Diceros bicornis minor: one gene and its partner. The protein of the gene in region 1 interacts with the protein of each later gene in a biochemical or structural test. Links are inferred from orthologs where the notes say so. Each region holds a gene or a part of one and is shown in the gene's direction. Other genes may lie near its edges. The genes, in order: DYRK1B and HNF1A.

The links.
Region 2: of the proteins of DYRK1B (region 1) and HNF1A, one has a biochemical effect on the other in vitro, tested with the Homo sapiens proteins (2 studies listed by IntAct, with this or other methods). The link is inferred for Diceros bicornis minor from reciprocal best matches to the Homo sapiens genes DYRK1B and HNF1A.

The regions. Positions count from the first base shown.
Region 1 is NC_080773.1:13,599,554-13,614,442, reverse strand, and holds the start of DYRK1B (dual specificity tyrosine-phosphorylation-regulated kinase 1B), read left to right. Parts: upstream 1-7,979; 5' UTR 7,980-8,138; coding exon 8,139-8,217; intron 8,218-9,494; coding exon 9,495-9,658; intron 9,659-10,675; coding exon 10,676-10,795; intron 10,796-10,892; coding exon 10,893-11,081; intron 11,082-11,453; coding exon 11,454-11,601; intron 11,602-12,471; coding exon 12,472-12,758; intron 12,759-13,456; coding exon 13,457-13,603; intron 13,604-13,682; coding exon 13,683-13,823; intron 13,824-14,152; coding exon 14,153-14,468; intron 14,469-14,857; coding exon 14,858-14,889. Other genes in the region: FBL (rRNA 2'-O-methyltransferase fibrillarin), read left to right, coding at 1,801-1,959, 2,062-2,163, 2,260-2,354, 3,412-3,582, 4,514-4,646, 5,683-5,795, 6,641-6,786, 6,914-6,938.
Region 2 is NC_080774.1:17,390,143-17,405,085, forward strand, and holds the start of HNF1A (hepatocyte nuclear factor 1-alpha), read left to right. Parts: upstream 1-8,009; 5' UTR 8,010-8,047; coding exon 8,048-8,385; intron 8,386-14,943. UniProt on the Homo sapiens protein: Transcriptional activator that regulates the tissue specific expression of multiple genes, especially in pancreatic islet cells and in liver. Binds to the inverted palindrome 5'-GTTAATNATTAAC-3'.

The DNA.
Region 1 (14,889 bases):
GGTCATCGATAGGAAGAACGAGCAAGCACGGGAAAGGTGGGGTAGCAGAGAAGGCCTGTCTGAGGAAGGAACATTTAATCAGAGACCTGAGTGCAGGGAAGGAGGTGGGCCTAGCACGTGTCCACAGGAGCCAGGCAGGGGGACAGCAGATGTTAAAGCTTTAGATGCCGGAGAGCGAGTTTGTTCTTGGAGAGGAAGAGCGTGGGGCCCAGGATAGAGAGAGCGCAGTCAGAAGTCAGCAGAAGCCAGGGCCTTGTGATGGAGTTCACAGTTTGGGCCACACATTAGAATCCCCGGGGGAACTTTAAGAAGCCCAGGCCCCGGCCCCTAGCCCAGACAGTTCAATCAGAATCTCTAGGTTCCAGGGATTAGCCAAAGGGGAGACCCACTGATATAGGGTTTTGGAAGCCAGGGAAAGGAATTTTGATTTCATTTTGAATGTGATGGAAAACCATGGAAGGGATTCGGACAGGGGATGCTGAGATCTGATTTGCTGTTTGCTGTTTTAAACAACTCCGTCACTAGCTGCTCCGTGGACAGTAGGCTGTAGAGGGGGAGACGATAAAGGCAGACAGCTCTTGGTTACGTGAGGAGTTTGAAACTGTTCATTTTTAACAATCAAATTAGGAATAGCGATTAGAAATTCCACCTTTTCATCTTTAACGCCATTCAGATGCATGAAGCTTTCAGAGTGTGAATACAATGCACCTTTACAAAAACTTGAGCAAGTGTACTAGTGACTAGTTTACATCAGGTGAGATCATTTTAAACCATCACTCATTTTCACGCTATTGTCTTATAACTCGTAGTTTTTCTGAATGGTACTGCAGAGCTTTTGAAACCCACACAGAAAAGTCACATATTCAATCTGTTAGCACCAGAATTCTGTCTGCTCCCAACATTGTTTTGTGCTCCGTGAAGTGAACAATGTTTGCTTTCTCCTGAAGTGATGAAAATAAAGTCTCTCCAAATCTTTTTCTTTTTCTTAAACTTTACATCTTGTTGACAAGCCCTAAACTGCTTAAGAACTGTTGCCCATCCATGAAAGACAATTCAGGTTTTTTTCTTCTTTTTCCCTGAGCTGTGAGAGACTTCTGCAGCCTTGGAAGCCGAGAGATCAGTTAGAAGGAAAGACATCATTCCAAGCTCCTCCCCCCTGTTTGGGAGTGGGCGCTTTTCTTCCAGGCATGAGGTCAGGAGTGGGAGGGCACGAAGATGTTTCCAGAGTCTGGAGGACCCTTCTGCCACGGTGCATGCACACATGCAGTGTTCGCTCTTTTTCAGACTAATTAATATGGAAAATAGAATGACTTCTGCGACTCTGCTATCCAACCAAAGAAAGCAGGATATTGACAGTAACCTACGTCGACCTATATACTCTTCCCCATCCTAACCCCATAATTTCTCCCTCCCGCCACCCAAGGTCATGAGTTTCGCAGTTATCATTCCCTTGCCTCTTTTTGGGGGGTGGGTGGCATGGGTTACCGCATATATCAATCAATCCAGCATAGCATCGTTGAATTTTAGTTGTTGCCGAACTTTATGAAAAGGATATTATGTGGATGTGGTTTTCTTGCACTTGCCTTTTCACTGAATGTTATGATTCTGAGATTTATCTGTCGTGTGTAACTATTGATCCTTTTCATTGTTGATTGTGAATTTTCCCCATATTATTTGTCCACTCTGCTGATGGACATGTCTCCTGGTGCAACGTGGACGTTTCTCCAGTTTCCTGAGTAGAGGTGTAGGAGTAACTACTTGAGTTCATTGTCCTGATTCCTGGTTCTGTTTTCGCCACAGGTTTCAGCCCCCGTGGGGGTGGCTTCGGTGGCCGAGGGGGCTTTGGTGACCGTGGCGGTCGCGGCGGAGGCCGAGGAGGCTTTGGCGGAGGCCGAGGTCGAGGTGGAGGCTTTAGGGGCCGTGGCAGAGGAGGAGGAGGAGGAGGTGGAGGAAGAGGTGGTGAGTGAGGTTGGGGAGATGTGATGGAGGAGGCTTGGGCTTGGGGAACAGGGAGGGAAGAGATGTGTGGTCTCCCTCTCTCACTGCATCTCTGCCTTGTAGGTGGAGGGTTCCATTCTGGTGGCAACCGGGGTCGCGGTCGGGGAGGAAAAAGAGGAAACCAGTCGGGAAAGAATGTGATGGTGGAACCTCACCGGCATGAGGGTGAGTGAGGAAGGTAGGGAACCCGCTGAGGGTAGGGGTGGGGTAGGGTGAGGTGCAGCCCGGAGTCTTCACCCCTGCGTTGGTCGTCTCACTCAGGGGTCTTCATTTGTCGAGGAAAGGAAGATGCTCTCGTCACCAAGAATCTGGTCCCTGGAGAATCAGTTTACGGAGAGAAGAGAGTCTCGATTTCGGTGAGACCTGGGCCCCTGTCCAAGCCACAGGGCCCCAGCCAATGGTGTGACTGGCAGTCTGGTCTCCCTGTCCCCACCATGTGTCCCACACTCGACAGCCAGAGGACCATCTTAATACATAAGTCATATCATGTGCTCCCCTCCCCAATGCCTTCAGATTAAAGTCCCAAGTCCTCAGTGCGGCCTGGAAAACCCTGCGCCTTCTAGCTCCCCTCCCCACTGGCCTCGTCTCCTCCCACTGGCCCCCTGGCCGAGTGTCTTCTAGCCACACTGACCCCCCCTGCTGTTCCCTCTGCCTGGAATACTCTTCTCCCAGCTCTGCGTGACTGGTTCCCTTTCATCACCAGCATCTCTGTCACGTATCACCTTGTCTTTCTCCCAAGGCCACCTGGCACCACCCTGTCTGTGGAGAGCAGCCCTCACCGCCCACCCCCCGCCCTGTCATCCTGCATCATTTCTTTAGGGCCAGGCACGCTCGTGCCTTGGGGCCTTTCTGCTGCCTGCAGTGCGCTGCCCCAGATAACGAATGGCCCCTCACCTCCTTCACCTCCACGCCAGGTGTCTCCTCGGCTCTTCCCTTGCGCATTTTCACCTGGCCCTCGCCCTGCTCCCCACACTTCACGCTTCTTGCCCACTTGCTCTTTCCCCTGGCACCTGTCACTGGCTGCTGTGCTGTCTGTGTCAGGCAGTTCAGTATGTACTTACTCCTTGAGGGCAGGTCTTTGCCTCGTTCCCTGTGTGTCCCCAGTGCCTGGCATAGGGTCTGGCACACTCATGTGCTGGCACAGTGGCTGCTTGGTGAATGAATGCGTGGGTCTTGCCGTTACTGGTATGATCTGTCTCTGTGTTGACTGTCTTGTCGCTATGCCTTCTCCCTGACAGTCCCCTCCATGAGAGGGCAGACACTGCATCTGTCCTGGTCACTGCTGTATACCCACGTTCATTTCTTGTTCTCTGATTGAGCGCCCAGTCCGTTTTGAGGGCCCGAGGGTTAAGGGCGGTGGGGTCTTGCAAAAGAGCCTGGCACTGACTTTCATCCCCATCTCTCCCGGCCCAGGAGGGAGATGACAAAATTGAGTACCGCGCCTGGAACCCCTTCCGCTCCAAGCTGGCAGCAGCGATCCTGGGCGGTGTAGACCAGATCCACATCAAGCCAGGGGCCAAGGTGCTCTACCTCGGGGCTGCCTCGGGCACCACCGTCTCCCACGTCTCTGACATCGTAGGCCCGGTGAGTGGACGGAGGGGCCGGAGGTGGGGGCCAAGTATGGGCTGGTGGTGCCGTAGGAGGCAGGGAAAGGCCCAGGCTGCTTCCTGCACTCTGTGGCTTGGAGCCAGGCCCTTCCCTCTCAGAGGGCCTGTGAGTAAAAGGAGCAGCTTGAACCACATGGTCTCCACAGCCTCATTCAGCATCACTCCTGAGTTCTTGGCCCGGAGGGAAGGGCTTTGGGCATCCAGGTGACTATGTTAGAGGGGCCCAGAGCTGAGAGTACAGATACCAGACTCTTTGTTTTGGTTGCCCTCTTTAAAAATGTATGCCCCTAAAATCTGGTCTCCTGGTTTCTCCTGAAAGAACAGGAGGTCTCAGTTTCTGGACCTGCATTTCTGTGTGGCTATACCGGTTCCCTATTTAGAGGGCCCCCGTGGGTCTCAACTTCATGACCCCCAGCTCATCTACATACCTATAGGCTGTGTAATTTAGTGGTGAAAAACCCCAGGCTCTGGGGCAGGCATTTAATAGTGAAGTGGTTCTCAGCAAGTTACTTAACCTCTTTGGGCCTCAGTTTACCCCTCTGGAAAATAGGGTTATTGTGAAGCTAAAGGAGTTAACTCCCGTAAAGTGCTTAAAGCAGTGCCTGGCCCACTGCAGATATTCTTAGCTGTTAGATTTCATCTCTGTGCCCTAGCTTCCTGGTATTAAGCCTGTATTGGGGCCTGGGCTCTCCGATCAGGCAAAGTGGAATTGAATAACCCTTGGCCAGTGACTTCACATCTCTGGACCTTGGTGTATTCATCTGAAAAATGGACATAACAATAGTTGTTAAATGGTAGGACTTTGATTTGGAGATTTGGAGAGATGCTGCGTGCAGTGAATGGGCCCAAAGTAGGTGCTCGATACATGAGAACTGGTATCATTGATGTTATTATTTGATGTATTTTAGGACGGTCTGGTCTATGCAGTTGAGTTCTCCCACCGCTCCGGCCGTGACCTCATTAACTTGGCCAAGAAGAGGACCAACATTATTCCTGTCATTGAAGACGCTCGGCACCCGCACAAATACCGCATGCTCATCGGTGAGGGGTCCAGGGGTTGGCCCAGGTAGGGTAGGACAGGCCACTCCAGGTTTCCTGGAAGAGGCCGCCAGAGCCCTGAATCAGATGGAGCTGAGTGGATGAGCAGGCCTCTTGCATCTGCAGCGGTGCAAAGGGTAGGGGAGCCAGCTGAGTTTGTGGAGGTGGTGGTCCCAGTTCAGGGTCTCAGATGTCTGACGGCTAGCCTCCTTCCCTCCAATCTCCTGCCCCTCTCCCTAGCCCCCCGTACTTCCTGGTACTGGTGCTTTTTACACTGGCTTATGTAGAAAAGCCTTCTTCAGAGGTCCTCCTCATCACCTGGAGAGAGCATAACCCAGGAAGCACAAACTGAGGCCCGGAGGGGCCCACTGTGAATATTAATGACTTTGTTTTTTAAGAAATTCAAAAGCATAATGTAAAAATGGAAGGCCTTATAAACTACCCCCAAAGGTAACTGATAACAATTTGATGTCTGCTTTTCCCAGTTTTAAAAAAGTCAGTTTTCATTACATCATCTTTTCCTTTTTTTAAGTTATTATTTTTTTAAATCACACTGCCTTAAAAATGTTATGTTGTATTCTGCTGGTTTTTCTTTCTGTGCATTTTTTTTCCATGCACTCATACCATATCCTTTGTCCTACTACTTGTTTTCATTTGACAAACCTGCAGACACTCTTGCCTGTAAGTGCTCACCTTTACTTGCCTTTTTGATGACATGTCTGTCTCCCCCCCCAGACCCGGGAGCGTCTCGAGGGCAGGGTCCGGGTCTGACTCGTCTCTGTGTCCCCCACGCCCGGCCCGGGGCTGGCCACAGAGTAGGTGGCAACCATGATTTACAAGAGGAATGAATGAATGGTGTGACTGTGGGTTTTGGACCCATCTTGGAGGCACCGCGGAGGGAGGGGGATCAGTGGGGGTAAGTGAGACTGGAGGCAGGAGACTTTGCCAGAAACCTGCTGGTGATGGGGCGCAGGCCCCACGAGAGGAGCTGGGAAGATCCAGTGGATCTGGCTCTTAACTGCCGCTTCTTTCTCCCTAGCAATGGTGGATGTGATCTTTGCCGACGTGGCCCAGCCAGACCAGACCCGGATTGTAGCCCTGAATGCCCACACCTTCCTGCGTAATGGAGGACACTTTGTGATTTCCATTAAGGTGCGGGGGCTTGGAGGGGTCTAAGATGGGGTGCTAGTATCTTTCTCGCTCTCTAACTGGCAAGCAGCCAGTCACTACAAGGGGGTCTCCACCCCTCTTAATCCAGTCAGTCTGTTCCCAGCCTCTATCCCTACCCAGCTCCCTACAAGCCACCTCTGCCCCAAGTCAAATAGCACATGATGAAGAACATCTTCAAAACTAAAAATCTTTGGATTTAAAAATGCAATAGAATGTAGTGGTCACGTGAATGATCGCTGGGTCTGACCATCTGAGTTTGAATTCCAGCTTGAATTAAGTGACTTTGAGTAAGATACTTAACCTGTGTGCCTGTTTCTTCACTGGTAAAATAGAAATATTAGTCCTATCTCTTTTAGTGTTGATGTAAGGATTCAATTTATCAATATATATGAAGTGTTTAGAACAGACCCTGGTATAAAATAAATTCTAGGTCCATGCTAGGTGCATTTTAAAAAAGGTTTTATTTTGAAATACAGAGAAGTCGCCTGTGTATCCTTCAACCAGATTCTCACCATTTGTTGGCCTTTTGTGACATTTGTTTTTGTATTCTCAGCTGCATTGTTACTATTGTTAAAGAAGAGGAAGTAGACGAAAAAACTCCTCGGTGTAAAATTTAAACACTGGCTTGTAGATCCATAGGGCTCTGTTGAAGGCTTCCTATTTCCAAGTCCAAACCAAATTGAAAACTTCTCTAAGGAAGTCTTTCCCTACATTTCCAAAACCTGAGTTTCACTGAGTTGCCAATAAAAAGAAATACATCTGGTTTAAAAAGCACAGAACAGGGAAAACAGCCTTGCCACAGACTTCAGACCCTCTCTCCTCTGCAGGCCAACTGCATCGACTCCACCGCCTCGGCCGAGGCCGTGTTTGCCTCTGAGGTGAAGAAGATGCAGCAGGAGAACATGAAGCCCCAGGAGCAGCTGACCCTGGAGCCGTACGAGAGAGACCACGCCGTGGTCGTGGGTGTGTACAGGTGAGCAGGGGCCCGGGATCCACCAGGACAGACATCTCTGTCCCCGCTGGGGGAGCCGCACAGGTAGTGCTGGAGTGCCCCAAAGTGGTGACAGGCTCTGAATATCCTCGTCTCCTTCCTCTCGCAGGCCACCCCCCAAGGTGAAGAACTGAAGCCCAGCGCCATCGGGATTGCGAGATTGTGTTGCTACTGTTAATACGTGTGTTTTCTATTAAAAGACTCATCCGTCGCTCCTGTCTGCTGCTGATGGCTTGACGGCCTCTCAAGACAAGGCGCATGCGCCCTTGGTCAACTTGCGGAGTGGTGGGGTGGAGTGCGCCTCCGGTCACACAGCGCATGCTCCTTTCCTAGCGGCTTCCTGCGCAGCCGTAACCCGGCTGTCGGCGCTTGGGCGGGGTTGGTAGCTCACTGCGCATGTACAGCGGTAAGCGCCGCTGAGCGCAGGCGCGGTGTGTTGCCCTGGGTCACGTGAGAAGGACAGATGGGGGGGCTGGGGGCGGAGCCCGAGGCTGGGGGGGCCGGTTTGTTGTGGTCGCCATTTTGCTGGTTGCATTACTGGGTAATCGGGGCCCTGGCTCGCCGCGTCCGCCGGATACCTTCAGCCCGTGGGCAGGTCTGGGCTCGGGCTTCCCGAGCAGTTTGAGTCCCCTTGCCCGCGCCCTCAGGTAACGACGCGGCTGCGGGCGGGGCGGCACGCGCTCGCGGTGAGGGGGGGCAGTACGGGACCCGCCCTGCCCGCGTCGCTGCGAGACTCAGCACGAGGCCGAGGGAGGAGAGGAGGGGGGTGGCGGGCAGGTGCAGGCCGTGCCCGGCTATTCATAGTCGGATTCCTGGAAGGGGCCGAGCCCGAGGCAGCAGTCTTAGCAAGGAGGCCGGGAGGGGGTAGCGGGGCCCCGCTCCCGCCCTTTGTTTGGGCTCGGCACCGCCGGCCGCTTCGTCGTCGCCTAGCAACAGCTGCCCTGGGCTGTGATTGGCTGAGCTCTTGGCAGCAGCGACCAATGGCACGGTTGTTGCCATGGCAGGTGCGGACTGCCAAACTCAGCCCGGCCCCGCCCGCTGGGGCTCCGTGGGCCGGGGCGGGCCTCTAGGGTGGGGGGCGGGACGCCGGGGTCCCCAGGGGCGGGGCCGGCGGGGCGAGGGTTAACCCGCCCCTCCCCCGTCCACCTGCTTTCTCCTTCCCCCGCGTGCCCCGGGCTGACCCTCGTCCCCTCCTCTCCCCGCCCCCGGCGGCGGCGGCGGCTGCTGTTGTCACCCACCGGGCCGCCTGTCCCGCTTGCCCTCCCCGCCGCGGGGCTTGCCGGGCCGGCCGGGCCGGGACAGGCGGCCGTCTCCTCACCGCCGCCACCGCCGCCATGCTGGCCGCTCGCCCACCCCACTGGGGGCCCCACCGCGCCCCAGCCCCCCGTGGGCCCCGCGCCAGCCCTGACCCGGGTAGGGGGTGGGGGCTGGGAGAGATGGTCCTGGTGTGGGAGGGCCCCGGAGAAGAGGTTGTTTTGGTGGGGGAGCTCCGAGAGAGAGGAGGGGTCGTGGAGTGGCAAGGCTTGGCATAGGAGGAGGATTGACATGGGAGAAGTGGCAGATACTCTGGGAGGGGAGACCTCTATGTGATATTTGGGGAATTTGGCTATGGGGGCCTTCTAGGAATGGGCACAGTTGTGGATTGACCCTGGCGAAGAGAGGAGGGACTGGAGAAAGGGCCCTGGTAGGAATGTTGGGGGAGGGGGAGGGGAGTAGGGTCCAGTGTAGGGTTGAGAAGGCCGAGTACTCTAAACCCAGCGTGGGAAGAGACGCCTCCCCTTTGCTCCCATCTGGAGGAGTAGGTTTTGATTGGGAGGGGGACCTTGGAGTAATGTGGGGAAGAGCCCTGTTTGGGGAACTGGAATATGGTATGGGGAAACTACTTGAAGGGGTGGTCCCTGATGTGGGAGGAAATGATATAGGGAAGAGGTCTTGGCATGATATGGGGAGGGTCCCCTGGGAATGGTGTGCCCTGGTGGATGAGAGTGCCATAGGGGTGGGACTCCAATGTATAAGGGTTCTCAGATAACCTTGGTGTGGTCAGGAGATCCCTAAGGACCCTGCTGTGATTTTAGGAGCCTGCAGAGGACTCTGCTGTGGTTTGGAGGGGGCCCAGAGGACTCTCATGTGGTTTGGGGAGGATCCTAGAGTTCTCTGGATTGGGGTACCTACAGGGAAGGGTAGATCTTGGAGTGGGGGGACCTTGCTGTGACAGGAAATGAGATCCTGAGGTTCAGGGAGGACTGCAGGAGGGCAGCATCTTGTGTGAGGGGCCCTGGGAAGGGCTAGGAGTAGAAATGGGAAGAAAAGAGTGAGCCCTACTCCCTATACTGTCTGTGGTTTCTATCTTTTTCCTCTCTTCCTTCCCCTAATTGTTGGTATCTTTCTGTCCTTTCCTGTCATGACCCATATCCCTGCGTGGCTCCCAATCATTCCCTTCACATGTCCCCCTCTTTATGCCACTTACTTCATTTATCCGGTAATCATTTGTTGAGGGACTCCGCTGTGCCCCTCCCCCCCCGCCACTTCTCTCTGTCCCCTCTCTTCATTGCCACCTGTTGCTCTCTTGCACCCTTTTTCTCCTCCCTCTGTGCCCTGTCTTCTCTCTGATGTCCACCTCTTTCCCGCCTGGCACTGTCCCACACATCCCCTTGTTCTCTGTTGTTCCCCTGCCTCCCGCCTGCTCTCAGGTCTCAGCGGCGGTGGCAGCCGAGGTGCAGGATGCGAGAAGGCGCCCCCCGGCCGGGCTCCCGCTCCAGGCCTCACTCCCTTGCGGCCCTCTGAGCCCACCATGGCCATCCCACCGGGCCATGGTCCCTTCTCTGGCTTCCCGGGGCCCCAGGAGCACACGCAGGTACGCGGTCAGCTGGCTCCTCACCTGCCTGGGGTAGGGGGAGGATGGGAATAGAAGGGGGCCAAAAGATAATGTGGTTGCCCAGGACAGTCTCCTGGGGACATGACGGGCCCTAGGAGAGTGGGAGGTAATAGAGGAGTTGCTGGCAGAGTCAGGGTTTGGAGAGCCTGGGTTCAAATCCTCACATGGTGGTTAAACGACTTCGGTTCTCCATGCTTCAGTTTACTGTAAAATGGGACCAGTAACGATACCTCCCTCACAGGATTGTTGTGAGGATGAAATGAGCTAATGAAATGCCTGTCAAGTGCCAAGAACAGTGCCCGGCACTTAGTAGACACTCAATAAATGTTCACCAAGCAAAAAAAGTCCAGAGTGAAAGATCTGGAGAGCGTGAAAGTGGAGGAAGACTAGGCCTGCGGGGTCTTGGAGTCAGCAGAGCTTGAGGGTACAGGGTCAAGACCTTCAAGGGCAGAGACTGTTAAGGTTCTGATGTGTAGAGCCTGAAGTGGGATGGAGTGGGAGGTCCAGGGGGCTGGATGCAGATCCAAGACCCTTGGGGTGAAAAAACTGGCAAAGATGCACAGAGGAGGTGAGGGTGAGGGTTGGGAAGGCCCACAAGATGGGGGCCTCTCAAGATGGGATACCCAGAGTGGCCAGTCTCAGGCCAAAGGACTGGGAGGGGCAGAGCCCAGGTTTCCTATCTGATCTCTCCCACTGAGGTTCAGAAAGGAGTGAGGTGTGGGATGAAAGGTCAGGGGTGAAGAGTCCACCCTTCAGTCACTCAGCGAGTCTCTCATGGACACCCCCTGCGTGCCAGGCCCCGCGCCAGGCTCTAGAGCTGCGGCAAGAACAAGACGACGTCCCTGCCCCTGGGGAGTTGACATTCTGTGGGGTTGTGAGACAGTGACCAAGTAAACATGTGCGTGCTAATGATGAGCCAGCCACCCATGTAGTTCTCCCCCTTGAGGTGGGAGGCAAAGGCCTGTCCTCAGTGTCCACCCCCACCCCGCCCCCCAGGTATTGCCTGATGTGCGGCTGCTGCCGCGGAGGCTGCCCCTGGCCTTCCGGGACGCGACCTCGGCCCCGCTGCGCAAGCTCTCCGTGGACCTCATCAAGACCTACAAGCACATCAATGAGGTGGGCCGGGGGTGGGGGGCCCGGGCTGGGTGCTGCGGGGTCCTGGCTGCTGGCACGGTCACTCACCAGTCCTTATCTCGGCCCCCCTGCTGGGCAGGTATACTATGCGAAGAAGAAGCGGCGGGCCCAGCAGGCACCACCTCAGGACTCGAGCACCAAGAAGGAGAAGAAGGTCCTGAACCACGGTTATGACGACGACAACCATGACTACATCGTGCGCAGTGGCGAGCGCTGGCTGGAGCGCTATGAGATTGACTCCCTCATTGGCAAAGGCTCCTTCGGCCAGGTGCGGGAGGCCCCACCCCACCCTGATCCAGGGACTAGGGGGCACGGGCACCCACTGGCATTGACGCCCACAGCCAGTGGGTCAGTGGCTTTAAGTTCTGTGCTGGGCCACTCACCCTAGCCCAGTCACTAGGTGTCCCTGTGCCTTAGTTTCCTTTTCTGTAAAACAGTGCAGATAACAGGACTCCGCACATAAGGTTGTATTATTTCATGTCCAGTGCCTGACAGCTGGTGAGCACTCAATTTTGAATTATCATTAGTATTATTGACACTGGTGGGTCTCCTTGGCTGGAGGCAGCAGAGTGGCGCCTGGCTCTGTCCCGCCCCCCTCCCCTCCCCTCCCCTCACTTTGTGACATGCCCCACCCCGGCAGGTGGTGAAAGCCTATGATCATCAGACCCAGGAGCTGGTGGCCATCAAAATCATCAAGAACAAAAAGGCCTTTCTGAACCAGGCCCAGATCGAGCTGCGGCTGCTGGAGCTGATGAACCAACACGACACGGAGATGAAGTATTACATCGGTGAGGCCTGGGGCAGTGGGACCGCTTAGGGGTGGGTCACCCCCGGGACAGGGGGCTGGAGTCTTCAGGGCAGGGTTTGGTGTGCAATCCCTGACATCAGTGACTCTCCCGCCACTTTCGTGATGTCTGCCCTACGCACATGGTAGTGCTGGTCAGAGTTTCGTGGGTGCTCACTAAGGGTCAGGCTCTGGTGTAAGCACTTTACGAACATTAATTTGTTGAAGCCACCCCACAGCCCCGCGGAGGAAGGGGCATGGAGATGAAGAAGGGGAGCCATTTGGGTGTTGTCATGGCATAAGGTGGCAGAGTTTGTGCTCAGTATGGCTAGAGTTGGACCAGGCAGTGGACCCCAGAGCCTTTCCCCTTGACGCCTGGGCCAGTCTTTTCCCTCTTTCCTTCACTGATTCCTCGTAGAAAAAGCAAATGGATCTAAAGATTGTGTTCCTTTGAATATACATCCTTACAGTAAATGGAAAATGAGTATAAACACAAAAACCACAAAATAAACAGAACTGAGACTAAAACCATGTGATAAAATTAAATGAGAAAGTGTAGGATGGTGTGAGAGCCCTGTCAGCACCGAATGGAAACTTTCTCTGGTTTAATCAGAAAGTTTGACAGAGACTTGAAAAGAATTAACTTTTCTTAATCAAGAATATCAATCAGTCCTTTTCTTGGTGGGAATCGAGTTATAGACCATCTAGAAACATCTCGACTAGCACGCCACCGTGGGGCCAGTGCTCCAGAAGCAGACACAGACCTGCTTCCAGCCTCTCTCTATTACTGCGCACCGCAGGCCGCCGCCGGCGCTCTCTGAGCGTCAGTGTCGTCTCCTGGGCCATTCCCCTTTCCTTGCCCTCTTCCCCGCAGTGCACCTGAAGCGGCACTTCATGTTCCGGAACCACCTGTGCCTGGTGTTCGAGCTGCTCTCCTACAACCTGTACGACCTCCTGCGCAACACGCACTTCCGCGGCGTCTCGCTGAACCTGACGCGGAAGCTGGCGCAGCAGCTCTGCACGGCGTTGCTCTTCCTGGCCACGCCCGAGCTCAGCATCATCCACTGCGACCTCAAGCCCGAGAACATCCTGCTCTGCAACCCCAAACGCAGCGCCATCAAGATCGTGGACTTCGGCAGCTCCTGCCAGCTGGGCCAGCGGGTGCGGCCCCTCCCGGGGGCGTGGCTAGCGGTGTGGGCGGGGCTGGGGCGGGGCCCGAGGGGCGGGCACGGCTGGGACGGGATTGTCCTGCAGCCCGAAGTGGCTGATGCTGAAGGATAGTGCTTGGGTTGGGGTGGCGGCAGTTACGGAGAGTGGGCCCAGTGGGTGAAGGCGGTAAAGGAGAGGGCCACAGGGAATCCTGCCCAAAAGGAAAGGGAAGCGTGAAGCCTGAGGCGGCAGGGTGCAGCTGGGTGGGCTGTGAGCCTTGGGTGGCACTTTGCTGAGTTTGGTTTGCCCCGCGCTCTTAAAGCTGGGGCTGGAGGGCGGGGAGCGCTTCAGCGTTGCAGCTTCGCGTAAGCTGACATTTGATGGTGATGGTAGTGGCTTGAAATAGGTCCGGATCGAGAGGGCGAGAAGGGCCTGGGCTTGCAGACTGCCAGCCTCTGACCGGTGACCAAGAGGGGCCCAGGGTCAAGCCTGGGGATGGAGATCAGGGTCAGACCAGGCCAGCAGAGACTCCTGAGGCCGATGAATAAGGTGGTGGTGGTGGCTCCTGGAAAGTCAGTGCTGATAACATCAGGGTTTGGAGCCCCCGTCCCTGGTTTTGGGGGCAGGAGGCTTGTCCTAGCCTTGGGGGTGTCAGTGGCAGCAGTAGGGGACGCTGGGACCTCTGACTGTTGCCCTTTCTCCTCCCCCAGATCTACCAGTACATCCAGAGCCGCTTCTACCGGTCGCCCGAGGTGCTCCTGGGCACGCCCTACGACCTGGCCATTGACATGTGGTCCCTGGGCTGCATCCTGGTGGAGATGCACACTGGAGAGCCCCTCTTCAGCGGCTCCAATGAGGTGTGCTCCCGAGGCCGGGGCATGCGGGGTGGTGGAGGCCTGGCCGGTCTGCTAACCCTGACGGCCCGCCCACTCGCAGGTGGACCAGATGAACCGGATCGTGGAGGTGCTGGGCATCCCCCCAGCCCCCATGTTGGACCAGGCACCCAAGGCTCGCAAGTACTTTGAGCGGCTGCCTGGGGGTGGCTGGACTCTACGCAGGACAAAGGAACTCAGGAAGGTGCGGCCCCGGCCCCACGCCGCTCCTCCCACCCCGGGGGCCCCTCACTCTCTCACACTTGGGGCTCCCTCTTCCCCCGCTTCCTCTCCCGTGTCTGTCCCTCTCCCCCCGCTTCCTTTCCCTTGTGTCTGTCGCTTCCTCCCTCTCTTCCTTGTCTGTCCTTTCCTTCCTCCCCAGCCCACCCCGTCTCTCCTACCCACCCCACAACTCTTCTTAGCTTTTCTCTTTCCACTTTCTCTCCTGTGCCTCTGTTTCCCCGTGTGTGTCTCCCTGCCCCTCCCGCCCACTGACGGCCACTCTCTTGCCCCCCCCCACCCCCTCCCTGCCAGGATTACCAGGGCCCTGGGACACGGCGGCTGCAGGAGGTGCTGGGCGTGCAGACGGGCGGGCCCGGGGGCCGGCGGGCGGGGGAGCCGGGCCACAGCCCCGCCGACTACCTCCGCTTCCAGGACCTGGTGCTACGCATGCTGGAGTATGAGCCCGCCGCCCGCATCAGCCCGCTGGGGGCTCTGCAGCACGGCTTCTTCCGCCGCACGGCTGATGAGGCCACCAACACGGGCCCGGCAGGCAGCAGTGCCTCCACCTCGCCCGCGCCCCTCGACACCTGCCCCTCCTCCAGCACCGCCAGCTCCATCTCCAGCTCTGGTGGGTGCCCAGTGCCAGGTGGCATAGAACAGGGGTGAGGGCAGCTCTGGTTGGGCCTGATCTGGGGGACCCTGCCACTGGGCCTTCACCTAGGGCTTTGAAACTGCAGGATCTGAACTCCAAAATGTGTGGGGCAGGACAGCTTGGATTGGCCCTGACCTGGTCTCTGAAACTGAGCTTGGGCTCAGACCCCTAAAACTGGTTCTGACTCTTGACACCCAGAACTGAACTCTGACCCCTAATCACAAAATTGAGCCCAATCCTTCAAGTGAGCACTAGTTACAGAGCCCAAATCTGGGCCTGGGCCATGGACCAGACTCAGCTACCCGAAAACCCAGCCACCGTCTCTCCTCACCTAAGGCCTCTTCTCTCCTCCCCTGGCACTTCAGGAGGCTCCAGCGGCTCCTCCAGTGACAACCGG
Region 2 (14,943 bases), on another chromosome or scaffold:
AAAATGAAGTCACAGCAAAGGGAAGCCTTGGTCCCACCCTGTCCTCCAGTGTCCGGGGTCCCCTCCCCAGAAACAACCAACGTGCCCAGGATCCTTTGTATCTCTCCATCCAGAAACACGATGGCACGGTTTTCGTTTGTTTCTTTTGGATGATCAACAACTAGTGAGTTTAGAGGCTGCGAGTCAGGCACGTGAATGGATGTGACTGGAACGCCAGGTCCCGAGGACACCCGGTTCAGCCTGATCTCCCTCTTTCCCTTTGTACCCTCACAAAGGCCTCCTTTTCAGTGGGCGGAGTCCAGAAGTGGCGGCTTTCTGGAATTGCTGATGTTCCAATGTTGAGGCTGCGACTAATTGACACTTGTCCATCAGTGGGAGGTCTGCCAATGAGAACTGGTTTCAGCAAGACCCAGGCATTGGCACTTCCTGGTCCCACGACTTCAGGCGTATAAGCCAATCCGGGAAAGCTGGCAGGGCTAGGAATCCCGGCTGGCAGCCTGCGCCTGCATTTGGCTCTTGGCTACTTTTTGGACTCGCTCAGCTGCGTGGTCTACTTTTCCCCAAAGAAGCCAAGGAGCAATTTTCATAATTCCTAAAAGATGTAGTTTTGTTCCCCTGGAGCTGTTTCATCCTGGGGCTTGGAGCCCAGCTTCCTGGGTTCAAATCCCAAATCTGCCATTTCCTAGCTGGGAGACCTTGGGCAAGTTGCTTAACTTCTCTGTGCCTCAGTTTCCTCATCTGTGAAATGGGGAGAATAATAGAACCTACCTCATAGAACTGTTGTGAGAGTTCAAGGAGCAAGTAAATGTAAAGCACTCAGTACAGGGCTTGGCACATATTAGGTCTCAAAAACATTAGCTATTTTTTTTATTAGGATGAAAACTAACATTTAATCAAATGCCTGCTTGCTGTATAGACACAACTGCTGTTTATCTCCTCCAATTCTCACAACAACCCTGTCAGGCCCAATTATCCCTACTTTACAGAGGAGGAAACTAGGGTTCAGAGTGGTTATGGGACTTGTTCAGAATCACACAGCGGGGTCATGGCAGAGCTTGTAACAGTTTGCTCTGTGGGCAGAGCTCTCAACTCGCCCTGGGGTTTGAAGTCCCAGCTAATGTACGTGTTGGCTCACTTTGATTCACGTCCTTGTGTTACAGTAGGGCTCTCTGGGCTTTTGCTGGCTGGAACCAGGTTATTTGTCTTGTAAACACCCGAGGGGGGGAAGCCACGTCTGAGACACCCAAGAGGCTGTGTCAGACAGTTTCCGCAACTTGCTAGATCCTGAGAAAACTGCCTGAGGTGTTTGTTCAAAGAAGAGATTGTCTGGCATTTCTCCTAGAAAGTTTGCTTCAGGAACAAAGGGGCGGGGCCTTGGAATCTGATTTTTTTTTACCTCGGTGACTGGGAATTCTTAGGATAAGGCAGGTTTGGAGACTTTTGCTGCGTGGACTTCGAGCGCCGTCTGCTGCCGATGAAGAGGATGACAGTAAAACAGACGGCGGCGTCCCCGGGCGCGGGCGCCGTCCCTCGACAGGTGTTTTCCTGCTTCAAGTCTTTGTTCTACCCTTGAGGGTTACAACGGGCCCGGATCAGAGCTGGGCGGTGGCACGGGGAAGGTCAAGGTTCTCCTTGCTGTCACAGAGTTTACGCTCTAGTTGGATTGACAAGATACCTTCAGGAAATCACGAGAAACGCGTTCAGAAAGAGCGGATTGAGCTCCCTCCCGCAGTATTTCCTGGGCATGCGCAGTGTATGGAGCCCCAGGCGTGTAGGTACCAGCATTTCTGAGGCCCGGGAGCCCAGGAAGAGACGACCGAGGTTCTTGCCATCTGTGGCCCACAGCCAGGTGAGGATCCAGGGACAGACACCTGAGATGGGGAACAGAACGTGGGCGCCACATAGCCTGGGGAGCCTGGCTCATTTGGGGCGGCGGGGAGGAGCTACCACCCAAATAAAAATAACTTTATTTTTTTTTCTATTTTATACCTGTGAAAATAAATATTCATGTTAAACTATTCAAATAATACAGAAAAGAGTGAGAAAGAAAGTACAAATCACCTGAAATTTAAAGTGTCAGTTCAATGGTTGTATATTACCGGGGTTGTGCAACCATCATCACAGTCTAATTTTTTTCCAGTTTTATTGAGATATAATTGACATGTAATATTTACGTATTAGTTTATGGTGTACAGCCTACTGATTTGATACATGTATATATTGTGAAATGGTTACCACAATAAGTTTAGTTAACATCTATGGCCTCCCATAGTTACATTTTTTTTTTCTTTTTTTTGAGGCTTCTTTTCTTCCTTTCTTTCCCCCTCCCCTGCTATTATTTTTGTTTGTGCATAGCTCCCTGCCAAAGGTAACTGATGTTGACAGCTTGGAGCATGTCCTTCCACATCTTTCTCAAATATGCATATAGAAACACATTTATCGTTGTTTTACAGAGAACAATATTCAGTTCTCTGCCCTTTGATGCACGGAGCTTGCACACTTTGGGCCTCGCTCCAGACCCATTAAATTAAATCCTTGAGCGTGGAGCCAGGAATCTGTATGTCTCACCCTCGATCCAGGGCTTTCTGGTGCTGCTGGCCCTGCGCCAGTGAGTTGGGGAAGGCTGGCTAGTGAAGGCTCATGTTGCTGTGGGCAAGAGAAGGGGTCAGAAGGAGACCTGTAGAGGATCTTGAGGACAGGCTAACATGTGGAGGTCTCCAGGTAGAGAAAACAGCTTGTGCAGAGGCCTGGATGTGAGAGATTCCAGGTGTGCTCTGGAGATGGAAATAGTGTGGCTGGTTAGAGAGCAGAGTTGCGGTATTGATGGCCTTGAATGCCAGAGTCAGGGCTTAAGAGTCAAATGGAATGGGTGGCAGGGACTCTTATGTGGAGAACTTTTGCCAAAGAAGAGAACTCAGCCTGGACAAGGTGAGTGGGGCAGTCATGTTAATAATCACGTAATGATAATCATTCAGTAGTGGGGAGCGCTTACAATGTGCTAGGCACAGTGCTTTATGTGTATTACCTCATTAATCCTCCTTACAACCCATGAGGCAGATAGTATTTCCATCCCCATATTAGAGAAGAGGAATCTGAGGCACAGAGAGGTTAAGCAAGTTGCCCAAAGTCACACAGCTGGCAAGTGGCAGAGCCAAGCTCAAACCCAGGCACTTGAGTCTGTGCTCTTAACCACCGTGTTTTATTCCCTCAGCTCCTTAGTTTCTTCATCTGCAAAACCAGCATGGAGGTGACAAGGCCAACGGGCAGAGACACACTTACCCAGAACAACAACAAAAAGTAATAGTAACAAGTATTTAGTGAGAGTGAACTGCCTCAAAGAAAGAAGGACATAGAATAGCAGTCAAGGGCTTGGATTCTGGCATCAGAGAGAGCTGGGTTCAAATCCTAGCTCTGCCGTGCACTAGCTAGGCAGGATCCATATGCTCTTAGAGCCTCAGTTTCCTCATCTGTAGTATGGGCTGAAAGTACCTACCCCGTGAGGCTATTGAGATGTTAAATGGATGAAAATCGCATATAGCAGCGACTGTTCAATAAAGATTTAAAGGGCAGTGGGACTCGGAGGAGGAATAGTTCAAGTTTGAATACAGGTGGGCCCCGAGGTGTGGGGGGGGTGGTGGTAATCGAATTCCAAGAGTCTGAGACTGACTGACAGGGCTCAGTGTTGCCTCCCAAGGCCAAGGAGAAGCCTTACGCCTTGCCTCAACTTTGGCCTTGCAAACAGCTGCTCGCCCGGCAGGAGAGAGTGGCGATGACGCTCAGAGCTACCACTGACGGTATATCTGCTGTGTCCAAGCCCGTCCCCTGGGGCCGCAGTTCCCAAACTGTGCGCCGAGGTGCCCCTGGGCACTGCGGACTATTTTAGAGGATTTTTGAAAGGAACACAGCGCCATCTGCCGGACACCTTGCAAACTACCAGCTCAAGGTAGTTCGCGGTTTCAATGTTTGAGGAGCTTCCTTCCTTTAGATGACGTCACAGCTTTGTAAAGCTGGGTTTATGGCAGTTGTTCTGATAACAAGCAAATATCTTGCAAAAATCATTGTGGAGCAGGAAATGAGGGTGGTAACGTCCAGTCTAATTCCAAGGGTCGAGCAGTTGTGCAGAGCCCCACAAGCCCACCCACCCATAAGCACATACTTAGCATTAAGAAGGAACTAAAATATTATTTTTTTCTTTCAATTGATGTGCATTTTTCAAGCGGCTACTAAGTTGTGAGGACATGAATACTTATTAGTTGTTTTAACCTAACTACTTATAAAAGTTAACTGTTAGTTTTTTTTATAGAGGCAGGAGGTGCCGTGAAAACATCACCGAGACACTAGAGGCGCCTTGAACTGAGGGGGTTTGGAATTTCTACGTTATGCTCTTTACAACCCTGGCAGATCCATACTTCTATTTCATAGATGAGTCAGGAAAGGCTACCCAGCAGGGGTGGGGGTGGTGTGTGGGGACAGTGATTCTCAGGAAGGCAAACTGCTCTCCCAACCTGGAGTCAGTTCAGATTTGTCCCCTGACTGTGGGGAAGGGCAGCCCTTTCTGTCTGTCTGCCTCCATGTCTGCGGGGCAGCAGGGTCAGGTTGCTGATGTCCCTTCTCCTTCATCAGAGGGGGCCCCACTCAGGGCCCAGGACAATAGCCCCTGTGTGTCCTGGGAGCTGAAGTTGGGCCCTGGGGGCCTCTCTCCTTAGACCTCCTGAAGGCTCTCCCCCCACCCACTGCTGGTCCACCTCCCAACCAAACCCACCTTCAGTCCTGGAGGCACCGGCTGGGCCACTTGGCTGCAGGAGGACCTAGCAGTTCATGAGTTCAAAGTTGTGCAAAGGATCCCGCCCCACCCTTCTCCCTCTTTCTGGTTCCCTCTTCTAGGTGAAACGTCACACAGCCTCCTGGCAGGGTACGGCAAGCAGGAGCACCATGAAACCACGAAGGGACAGCACACAGCATCGCCCCTGCCCTTCAGCCTGGACTTGAGAATCCTGCCCCCAGCAGTGAGCCCCCTTACCCCAAAGCGACTCACACTGGAGGAAAAAGAAAACACTGGAAGAAAGGTGGGGTCTCCCTTTCCCAAAGGGCAACTGTCAGCATTGTCCTGCACAGTCAGACTGCCCGGCTCTGGACGCCCCTGAGCAAGCCATTGAACCCCTCTGAGCCTCTGTTTCCTCTGCTGCAGAATGGGAATAATAACAGTGCCTACTTCACAGAGTCGTTCTGAGAGTTTAATATACGACAAAGCTTAGTGCAGAGCTAAGTATACAAGGTCGGTGCACAATGAAATTTAGCTATTCATTCATTCATTCCACAAATATTTATTGAGCACCTACTAGGTACGTACGAGGCAATATTCTAGACGCTGGGAATACAGCAGTGAACGAGACAGACAAAACCCTGCCGTCAGCAGGCTTACGTTCTAGCAGAGGGAGATGGACCATAAATAACAAACCTAATACGTAAGTAAATTCTAGAGCAGTGCTGCCCAACTGAAATATAATGTGAGCCATGTTATGTAATTTAAAATTTTCCAGTAGTACCATTACGAAAGTAAAAAGAAACAGGTGAAATTAATTTTTCTAATTTTTAATTAAAAATTTTAAAATTCACCCGATATATCCAAAATATTATCATTTCAACCAGAAGGCATTAGCCACATCTCGAGTGCTCAGTAGCCACATGTGGCTGGTGGCTGCTGTGCTGGGCAGCACAGTTGTGCAGCACGTCAGAAGGTGAATGCAGAAATGAAGACGTAATTCAGTGTTGGGGGGACTGGAGCACCCCATGTGGGAGCGGACAGACTGAGAAGGGGATTTGAGCTGACAGAGAGCTCAATTATCATTGTCAACCAGCCCCCTTCCTCCCTGCTGGCCTCGCCTGGCTGCGGGAGGGTTTTCTGGCCAATAGCATCTTATCCCTTCCTCTGTCGCCAAGCCTGACCCTGGTTCTGCAGACCCCTGAAAGATGCGGACCCTCTGGACATGCCCCAGCCTGGGGGGCGGCCCCTCAGCACCACCCCGCCTGCTCCAGGAAATGGTGTGCATCCTTTGTTTTGGGGGCTTAGGGCCACCCCGGGGGACACACAGCAGGAATTTTATCAAGGCTCTGTCTGGAGGAGGGAAGAGCTGGGTGGGGGCGTGAGGGACCAGTGCTCACCCAGGGCTGGGATTGGGGGGAGGGGAGTGAGCACTGGAGCCTGGCTTTATTTAAAATGTTGATATTTTGTTCATCCCAGGTTTTTTGCATTAATTAAAAAAATATTTTTTACTGATTCATATATCATAAAATTCAGCCTTTTAAAAAGTTCACAATTTCCGTGGTTTTTACAGTTTTGTAACACCACCTAATCAATTTTGGGACATTTTCACTGTCCCCAAAGACACCCCTGACAACCACTAACCTACTTTCTGTCTCTATGGATTTGCCTTTCTGGACATTTCATAGAAATGGACTCACAATATGTGACCTTTTGTGTCTGGCTTATTTCCCTTAGCATAAGGTCTTCCAGGTTCATCCACATTGTAGCACGGATCAGCACTGCATTCCTTTTTATGGCCGAATAATATACCACTGCATGGATAGACCACATTTTATTTATCCATTCATCTGTTCATGGATATTTACGTTGTTTCTACTTTTTGGCTATTGTGAATAATGCTGCTGTGAACATTCACGTGAGAATTTCTATGTGGGCATGTGGTTTTTTTTTTTTGTGTGTGAAGAAGATCAGCCCTGAGCTAACATCCATGCCAATCCTCCTCTTTTTGCTGAGGAAGACCAGCCCTGAGCTAACATCCATGCCAATCCTCCTCTTTTTGCTGAGGAAGACTGGCCCTGAGCTAACATCTATTGCCAATTCTCCTCCTTTTTTTTCCCTTTTTTCTCCCCAAGGCCCCAGTAGACAGTTGTATGTCATAGTTGCACATCCTTCTAGTTGCTGTATGTGGGACGCCGCCTCAGCATGGCCGGAGAAGCGGTGCGTCGGTGCACGCCCGGGATCCGAACCTGGGCCGCCAGCAGCGGAGTGCACGCATTTAACCGCTAAGCCATGGGGCCGGCCCCAGTGGGCATATGTTTTTAATTCTTTTGGATTTTGCATTCATTTTGATTTTTAATATGTTGGATAAAAATATTATTTTTCTTGAATACTGAGTTTTTGGGCGCCCCCTTAAAATTCGTGTCTGACTGGCCTACCCTGTTCCCACCCTGTGTCTTGCCCCTTGCTGGCTGGGTGACTTTGGGCAAGTTGCTTACCATCTCAGAGCCTCGGTTTCCTCTTCTGTGAAATGGGTATAGTCCCCATACCTGCTCACAGCTGGGAGGGGGACACAGTGAGGTCATGACGCACGTTATAGACCAGCACATCCCTGGCACACAGTAGACTTGTGCCAGTCGACAGTCTTTCCTACGGGGAGGCCTGGCGTTGGGCCTGATGGGAGGTGGCAACATAGATGTGACCTAGCCTTGCCCTTGAGGAGAGCTGGCCCACCTGCCTGGAACACTTGCTGCTTCTGTTCCCAGGGGAAACGTGCTGTTTCTGCTCTCCTGCCTCAGCCTGACCCCCTACAAGGTCCCTGGGGATGAGATCTGATGCTGCTCACCCCAGGGCCTCCTGGGCTCCCAGCACCTTCCACCTCAGCTGCCCTGGGCCCCCACCGCCGCCTCCCCCACCCTCGCTCTGCCCACTCCCACTGCAGGCCGCGGCTCCCGGCCCTCTGCGCTGCCATGAGGCCCGCACTTTGCAGGGCTGAAGTCCAAAGTCCAGGCCCTTCGCTAAGCACACGGATGAATATGAACCTTGGAGAATTTCCCCAGCTCCAATGTAAACAGAGCGGGCAGGGGCCCTGATTCACTGGCCGCTGGGGCCAGGGTTGGGGGTTGGGGGTGCCCACAGGGCTTGGCTAGTGGGGTTTGGGGGGGTCGTGGGTGCAAGGAGCCTGGTCTGTGCCTGCCTGCTGGCCGGCGGGCAAGGAGACAGCCCACGCGGGGGAGGCGGCCAGCTCGGTGGCCCCGGGCCGCGTGGTCCAGCGGCAGAGGAGCCATGGTTTCTAAGCTGAGCCAGCTGCAGACGGAGCTCCTGGCGGCCCTGCTCGAGTCGGGCCTGAGCAAGGAGGCGCTGATCCAGGCCTTGGGGGAGCCGGGGCCCTACCTTCTGGCTGGGGATGGCCCCCTGGACAAGGGGGAGTCCTGTGGCGGCGGCGCCGGCGGCGGCCGAGGGGAGCTGGCCGAGCTGCCCAATGGGCTGGGGGAAACGAGGGGCTCCGAGGACGAGACGGACGACGATGGGGAAGACTTCACGCCGCCCATCCTCAAAGAGCTGGAGAACCTCAGCCCCGAGGAGGCGGCCCACCAGAAAGCCGTGGTGGAGACCCTGCTGCAGTAAGGCCCCTTCCCTGTGCCCGGCTCCCCAGGGGCCCACCCGCTGCTCCTGGCCGGGCCTTCTGAGGCCAGAGTTCCACGAGTGTGGCCTCGAGCCTAGTTGTCAGGAAGGGGACAGGGCCCAGGAGAGCTTGCGTGGGTGGGGGGTCCTTGCTTGAGGTTGGAGCCTCCAGGCCCGACCTGGCCTCTGCAGAGTCTGAGTCCCCACGAGCCGCGGCTTTCAGCCCAGTGCCTGGGAAGTGGGGACATGCCCCAGGGGAGCTCCGAGACGGGGAAAAGAGGGAGAATCCACATTCAAGTGCCTGGAGAACCGGGGTGGGGGGTGGAATTTTTAGCTACCACGGCCATTTCCACTCCCGAAACCCTAACTGCCCTGCTAAGCGACAGGATGCACCGCTGGGGAGGAGGGGCTGAGGCTGGGGTTTTGGGGACTCCCCAACCACCCGGCGACTCAAGCATTCAGCCAGGAAAGCCCAGATCTTTCTTACCTGAGGGAGATGGAGCCTTGGGGTGGGGGCTGCTCCTCTTTCCTGCACAGCCTCAGGCGCCATTAGAGTCCTCCCCGTTCTGTACCCCCATCCATTGGCTGGCTCCCCATCTCCCAGAGAACTGGGTGGGTCTGAGCCAGATGCTTCCCCTCTCCTCAGCAGAGCTAACCTGGTTACTAATTACCCGCAAGCTTTATTATTTCTCTTTTGTTTTATAAATTTATAAACAGCAAAAGGCTCTGATAAGGCCTGTGATCATTAACTTGGAGGGATGGTGGCCTGGGGAGCCCTGGGCCAACCAACCTCCCACTCAGTGGGGGTGGGGGATGGGGAGTGTGGGGGTGGAGGGAGGGGGGCCTGGGGGCTCAGGGACCGCCCCTCCCCAAAGGCTCCCTAACCTCCATCCTAACAGCGGGACGCTGTGCTGAAGTTTCACATGTATCATTTTGGATAATGTTGAGGTGAACCCTGGGAGGAAGCTATGGATAACTCTGCTTCGCAGACGAGGAAACTGAGGCCCGGAGAGGGGAAGCAGCTTGACTAAGGCCACCCAGCTGGGACTTCACACCCACTCTGCTTGGTGCTCTCAGTTGCCATGACTGGGGGCCAGGGACCGGCCGGGGGTGGCTGGGGGAGCTGTCTGAGGAAGAGGCCTCTCCAGGGGACCACGTCTTTTCTGTCCAAGGTCCTGATCCCAGCTTGGGGTGGGGGAGGGCTGGATCCCGCCTCAGGGAGCCCTCAGGGTCTGCCAGGCCTCGTGAGGGCCCGGGCAGCGGGCAGGGGAGCAGCCAGGGCCCCCTGACTTGGCAGGAAGAGGAGGGCAAAGGGCCCCGCTGGGCTGCAGGGGAGGGGCAAAGAGTCAGGCATCGCCAGACCTGGGACGAGGGCCACCGGGACAGGGTGGGGCTGGGCCAGACTGGCTCCGGGCCCTAGCCGGGATTGGGGGCTCTTGAGTGGGAGCGGAGGCAGAGGGTCCAAGGGCCTTTCTTACCTGGCGGGGTGGGGCCTCTTGATCAGCAGCCCCTGTGGTGGGATGGTGGGTGAGGGGGGAGGCTGGATCCACAGCGCTTGAGGGGGGAGCAGAGGTCAGAGTGCTCCCTGGGGACCAGCAGAGACCTGGAACCTGAGGGAGAGAGGGGAGGCAGGGAGGAAGAGAGAGGATGTCGGGCGAGATGGAGAGAGAGGCCTGGAGTGGCAGAGCTGAGCAGAGCAGCGGGAGGGGAGAGGGGCTCGCACCCAGCTGGGAGAAGGGGCTCGGGAGAGACTGAGGCGCCCCAAGCTGAGAGGAGGCTGGAGTGCTTCCCGCCCGCCCCGATTGGGTTTTCTTTAATGCTAACAGCATGCTATTTACTTTCCATTTAAATTTGAGATGTTGCTATAAATTATCAACCAGCTCCTTGTTCCTGCGGAGTTTATAACTAACTACCTGGGTTACTTATTGTTCAGGTAACAAAAGGGATCTGAGAACGCCTCGAGGGAGAAAAGTGGGGCCTCTAGCCTCGGGGCACCAGAAGGAGAGGGGTGGAGGACCCTCGATGAAGGCCTGGGCACTGAGGAAGGTTAAGGCTGGAAGGGATGATGCAGAGGCAGGACTGCCAGTGGAAGCCATTTCTCTGCAGAAAGTGTCTGGGAAGAGGCAGGGGTGGGTCTGGATTCCAGGCCTCCCCAGGGTGCCCCGTGCTTGAGGCCACAGCAGGAATCTGAGCTCTTCCCTTAGATTGCCACCCTTAGTTCACCCTGTGACCTTAGGCAAGTTTCTTCGCCACCTTCTGCCTCAGTTTCCCTACCTGGACAGTGAATAAAATTCAAATTCCCTGCCCTGGTTCCCTGACCTCGTTCTGAGGGACCTCCCTGCCTCACTCTCTTTCCATCAATTACACTGACTTTGCTGATTCCCACCTCAGGGCCTTTGCATGTGCTGTTCCTTCTGCCTGGAACCCTCTTTCCAGATCTTCCCATGGCTGATTTCTTCTCCTCCTTTTGCTCAAATGTCACCTCCTCAGGGAGGCCTTCCCCAACTACCCCATCTAAAGGTAGGCCCACCCCCGTCACTCTCTCGTCCACTACTTTCATTGACTTTCTCCTGTCCCTTATCATTATGTAGGATGATCTGATTTGTTTATCTGTTCATTTTCTATCTCCTGCTATGAAAATAGAAGTTCTTCAAGAGCAGGGCCCTTGTTCACCTCTCCTACCCCGATACCCAGCCCAGTGGCTGACACACAGCATGAATGAATGAATGACTAGGATTCTCTGAGGCCCTGGGGACATCTGCTGCTATGGTGGAAGGAACCTGTACCCCGGGCTCCTTCCTGGGAGTCCTCCTAGGGCCTCCCTGTCCCTCAGCAGCTCAAACCTCAACCCTGAGGTTCTCTGATCCTCCCCTTCAGGCACTGAGACCCAGGAGGACAGTGGCCAAGATGGGACAATCTGACATCCCTGACTGAGGCCAGCCTGCCTGGGTCGGATCCCAGCTCTGCCCTATTCTAGCTCGGGCTAGGATTTCACTTTTCTGAGCCCCTGTGTCCTCTGCAAGGTGGAGGTGATAATTAACACTTACCCACAGTATTAGCACGTAAGTGTGATAAACGGTTGCTATTATCAGTGGTCCCGTTTTACAGAGGAGCAGACTAAGGCTAGGAGGGACAAAGCGACTCGCCCAAGGTGCCTCTTACAAAGTAATAAGACCAGGACTTGGATGCGGGTCGTCCTGATCCCACAGTCTGCACGGTGCCCTTGAGATTGCATGCCCGTCCTTGATACGTTTATCTCCCCGGTTAGCCTCCCCAGTCCTTCGTGCTGTTGATTTCATCATCAACTCACTTCTGCGCAGGGCTCTAGAGCTGACGAAGGGCCTGCAAGTGCATTCAACTAGTTTTCTCCTCCTGACAACCTCTGAAATATTGCTAGCCCCACCTCACAGTTGAGGAAACTGAGGCACGGGGAGGTTAAGCAATTTCCCAGGGCCACCTGGATAGGGAGCGGCGAGCTGGGGTTCCAATGGAGATGGGAAGGCCCCACACTAAGAACTCGGCTCCCCCTCCAGATGAGGCCCTGGAGGCTGGTCTCCCAGCTCCACGCCCATGGACCCCCTGAAACCCCAGGGGCCAGTGAGCAAAAGGCTCAAACCTGCACCTCTGATTTGACTCCAGAACGGGTAGGAGGCGGGAGGAGGGGGATGTAGGCAGATTTTCCCCTCTCCTGGGCCCCCTTCCCTCTGCTGTGGGGCTGGGGGTCCCAGGACCACATCGTGGATGATGATGAGGATGATGGTGATGATGGTGATGGTGATGATGATGGTGATGATGGTGGTGATGGTGATGATGGTGGTGGTGATGGTGATGGTGGTGGTGGTGATGATGATGATGGTGATGATGATGGTGATGGTGATGGTGATGATGGTGGTGGTGGTGGTGATGATGGTGATGGTGATGATGATGGTGATGGTGATGATGATGGTGATGGTGATGATGGTGGTGGTGATGGTGATGGTGGCGGTGGTGATGATGATGGTGATGATGATGATGGTGATGATGATGGTGATGGTGATGATGTGATGGTGATGGTGATGGTGATGGTGATGGTGATGATGATGGTGGTGATGATGGTGGTGGTGATGATGGTGGTGGTGATGATGGTGGTGATGATGATGGGGTGGTGATGATGATGATGATGGTGATGATGATGGGGTGGTGATGATGATGGGGTGGTGGTGATGATGATGGTGGTGATGATGATGGTGATGATGATGGTGATGACAATATTGTTCCACTCACTGAGCAGTTACTGGGTGCCAGGCCCTGGGCTATTTTCACCCCTATTTGAAGCTCATTCATTCTCCCAATAGCACTGCAAGGCAGGCGTGGGTTTACCGCCGTGTTACAGGGAAGTTGTGGGGTTTGCACACATCAGGTGTGAGGTCGCAGTGGTGGGATTTGAACCTAGGTCGGTTTGACTCTCAAACCCACTAGAGTGGAAGCAGGAGATACCTGGAGACGTGGCCTCTGAGTTCTGAGTTGGGGAAACTGTCTTGAAAAGAATCTGGTGCTTGGAGACTGAGTGTGTGTGTGTGTGTGGTGAGGGGCGAGTGGGAGAAAGAGACAGAGCGAACAAGAGACACACACACACACACACACACATGCACACACACAGAGGCAGAGAAAGAGAAACCACGGCAGATAGACAGACACAGAGAGACACCCGGACTCAGAGGGACGGTGACAGATGGTGAATCTTTAGTCTGAGCCAGGAGAGGCCCTGCTGAGAGGCAGACTGAGCTCATTGTCTCTGGAGAAGAGAGATGGAAGGTAGGGAGGATTGCTCCCGAGGGTGACGGCTGCAGTCAAGGGAGGGGGGCGGCCATCGGGCGGCCCGGCTCCAGGATCAGATAAACATGTTTGCCACGAAGCACAAGGCTGGACTTTGTACTGCCCTTCCCTCCTCGCTCTGACTGGCACCCAGGGAGCGGGGGAGGGGGAGAGGAGAGAGGATCCTGGGAGCCCTTGAAAGCAGAAGAGAGAGGAGCTCGGGGAAAGGTCTGGGGGGCCTGGGCAAAGTGAAAGATTCTTGAGTCCCAGCCAGGTCACCTTGGAGCAGGGCTCACCTTTCTGAGCCTCAGTTTTCTCCCCTGTGAAATGGGCATACAGGTAGTACCTCCTTCCTAGGGTTATTGTAAGATTTATGTGACCAGCCTGTAGCACAGTGCCTGGCTCACGTAAACACTCAGGAAACATTCATCCTCACGGCCCACACTGTTGCACCAGTGGGACTTGGCTGTACTGACTGCTGACCATATAAATGTATGTGTCCCCACCCTCTGTCCCTCCCTGCTTGTAAGGGAACTGCTGATAAAAAAGGAGGAAGTCAGAGGGCCGAAGCTGGTGAAAGCTCCGTGCATGCCCTTGTGTCCTAGAAGAGCACTGTCGGGGGCAACGCAAGGCTGGTTCTCTGGGGAGGCAGAGAAAGGCCGGGGGAAGGCAGTGCGGGGAGCTTCAGAGCACTGGGGGGTTATTTGCTTTTAGTGTTTTACAATTCAGTTTTAAATATTACATATGCATATGTAGTGTATTATATAATATTATGCTATATTACATCATTTAAAAAGTGTAGAAAACTAACAGAGATCACTGTCTCTCTCACCTTGTCCCCAGCACCTAATTCCCCTCTTGAGGCAGCGTCGCCAATTCCTTCTGTCCTTCTGACATTTCATGGGAACACAAGCAAAGACGTAGAAATCTTCTTTTAACCCACTTTAAATTTTATGCAAATAGCAGCACAGCAAACCCCCAGACAAACTCGGTTCTGTCTGGGCGCACGCGGAGCTTCTCAGTGGGTTTTCACGGCTGCATCGTACGGAGCCACCGCAATTTAGTTATCAGCGTCCTTTCGCTGGACACTTAGGTTGTTTCCAGTCTTTTGCTGGGGCAAGCAACATGGCACGAATCACCTCCTCCAAGTGCCACTTGTCCCACATGCCAATATCGGAAGGCTCAAATTCTAGAAGCAAATTGCTGAGTCGAGGGGGTGAGAACACAGGGTCTGGAATTGTGCAGACGTGGGTTCAAATCCCAGTTCTGCCTGTTTCAGCGCTGTTGTATCAAGCTGCATTTATCTGACACACATTTGTACTATAAACAGGAGAGGATGGGGAATACAGGGTTGAGACAGAGCAGGAGAGGGACAGAGAGAAGAGTTTATATAGTACAGGCAATCTGACCCCACAGCGAGCAGAGGACAGGATATGAATGTGGATGTACCCAGGTCCCTGAGTCTCTCTAGTGAGAGACTTTCAGCCCAGAGTGGGATTCTGGGGCTCAAACACTCACGTATTTCGTACAACAAAGCCTCTGAATGCCAACCCCTAAGCCCTTCACCTGGGACTTCACCTGGTTGAAAAACCAGCCGCCTGCCCCAGTGCTGTGGGGAAGCTGGTGGGGCCACTGCCCAGGGTTCAGTGTGGATTTTCAGGAGGCGTTTTGACCCTCAGTGATTTTTGCCTGATAGGCTGGCTTAGCACTGAATCCCTCAGGTGGATGGGGCTCTGCTGGGCTGGGTATGTGACCTTGGGCAA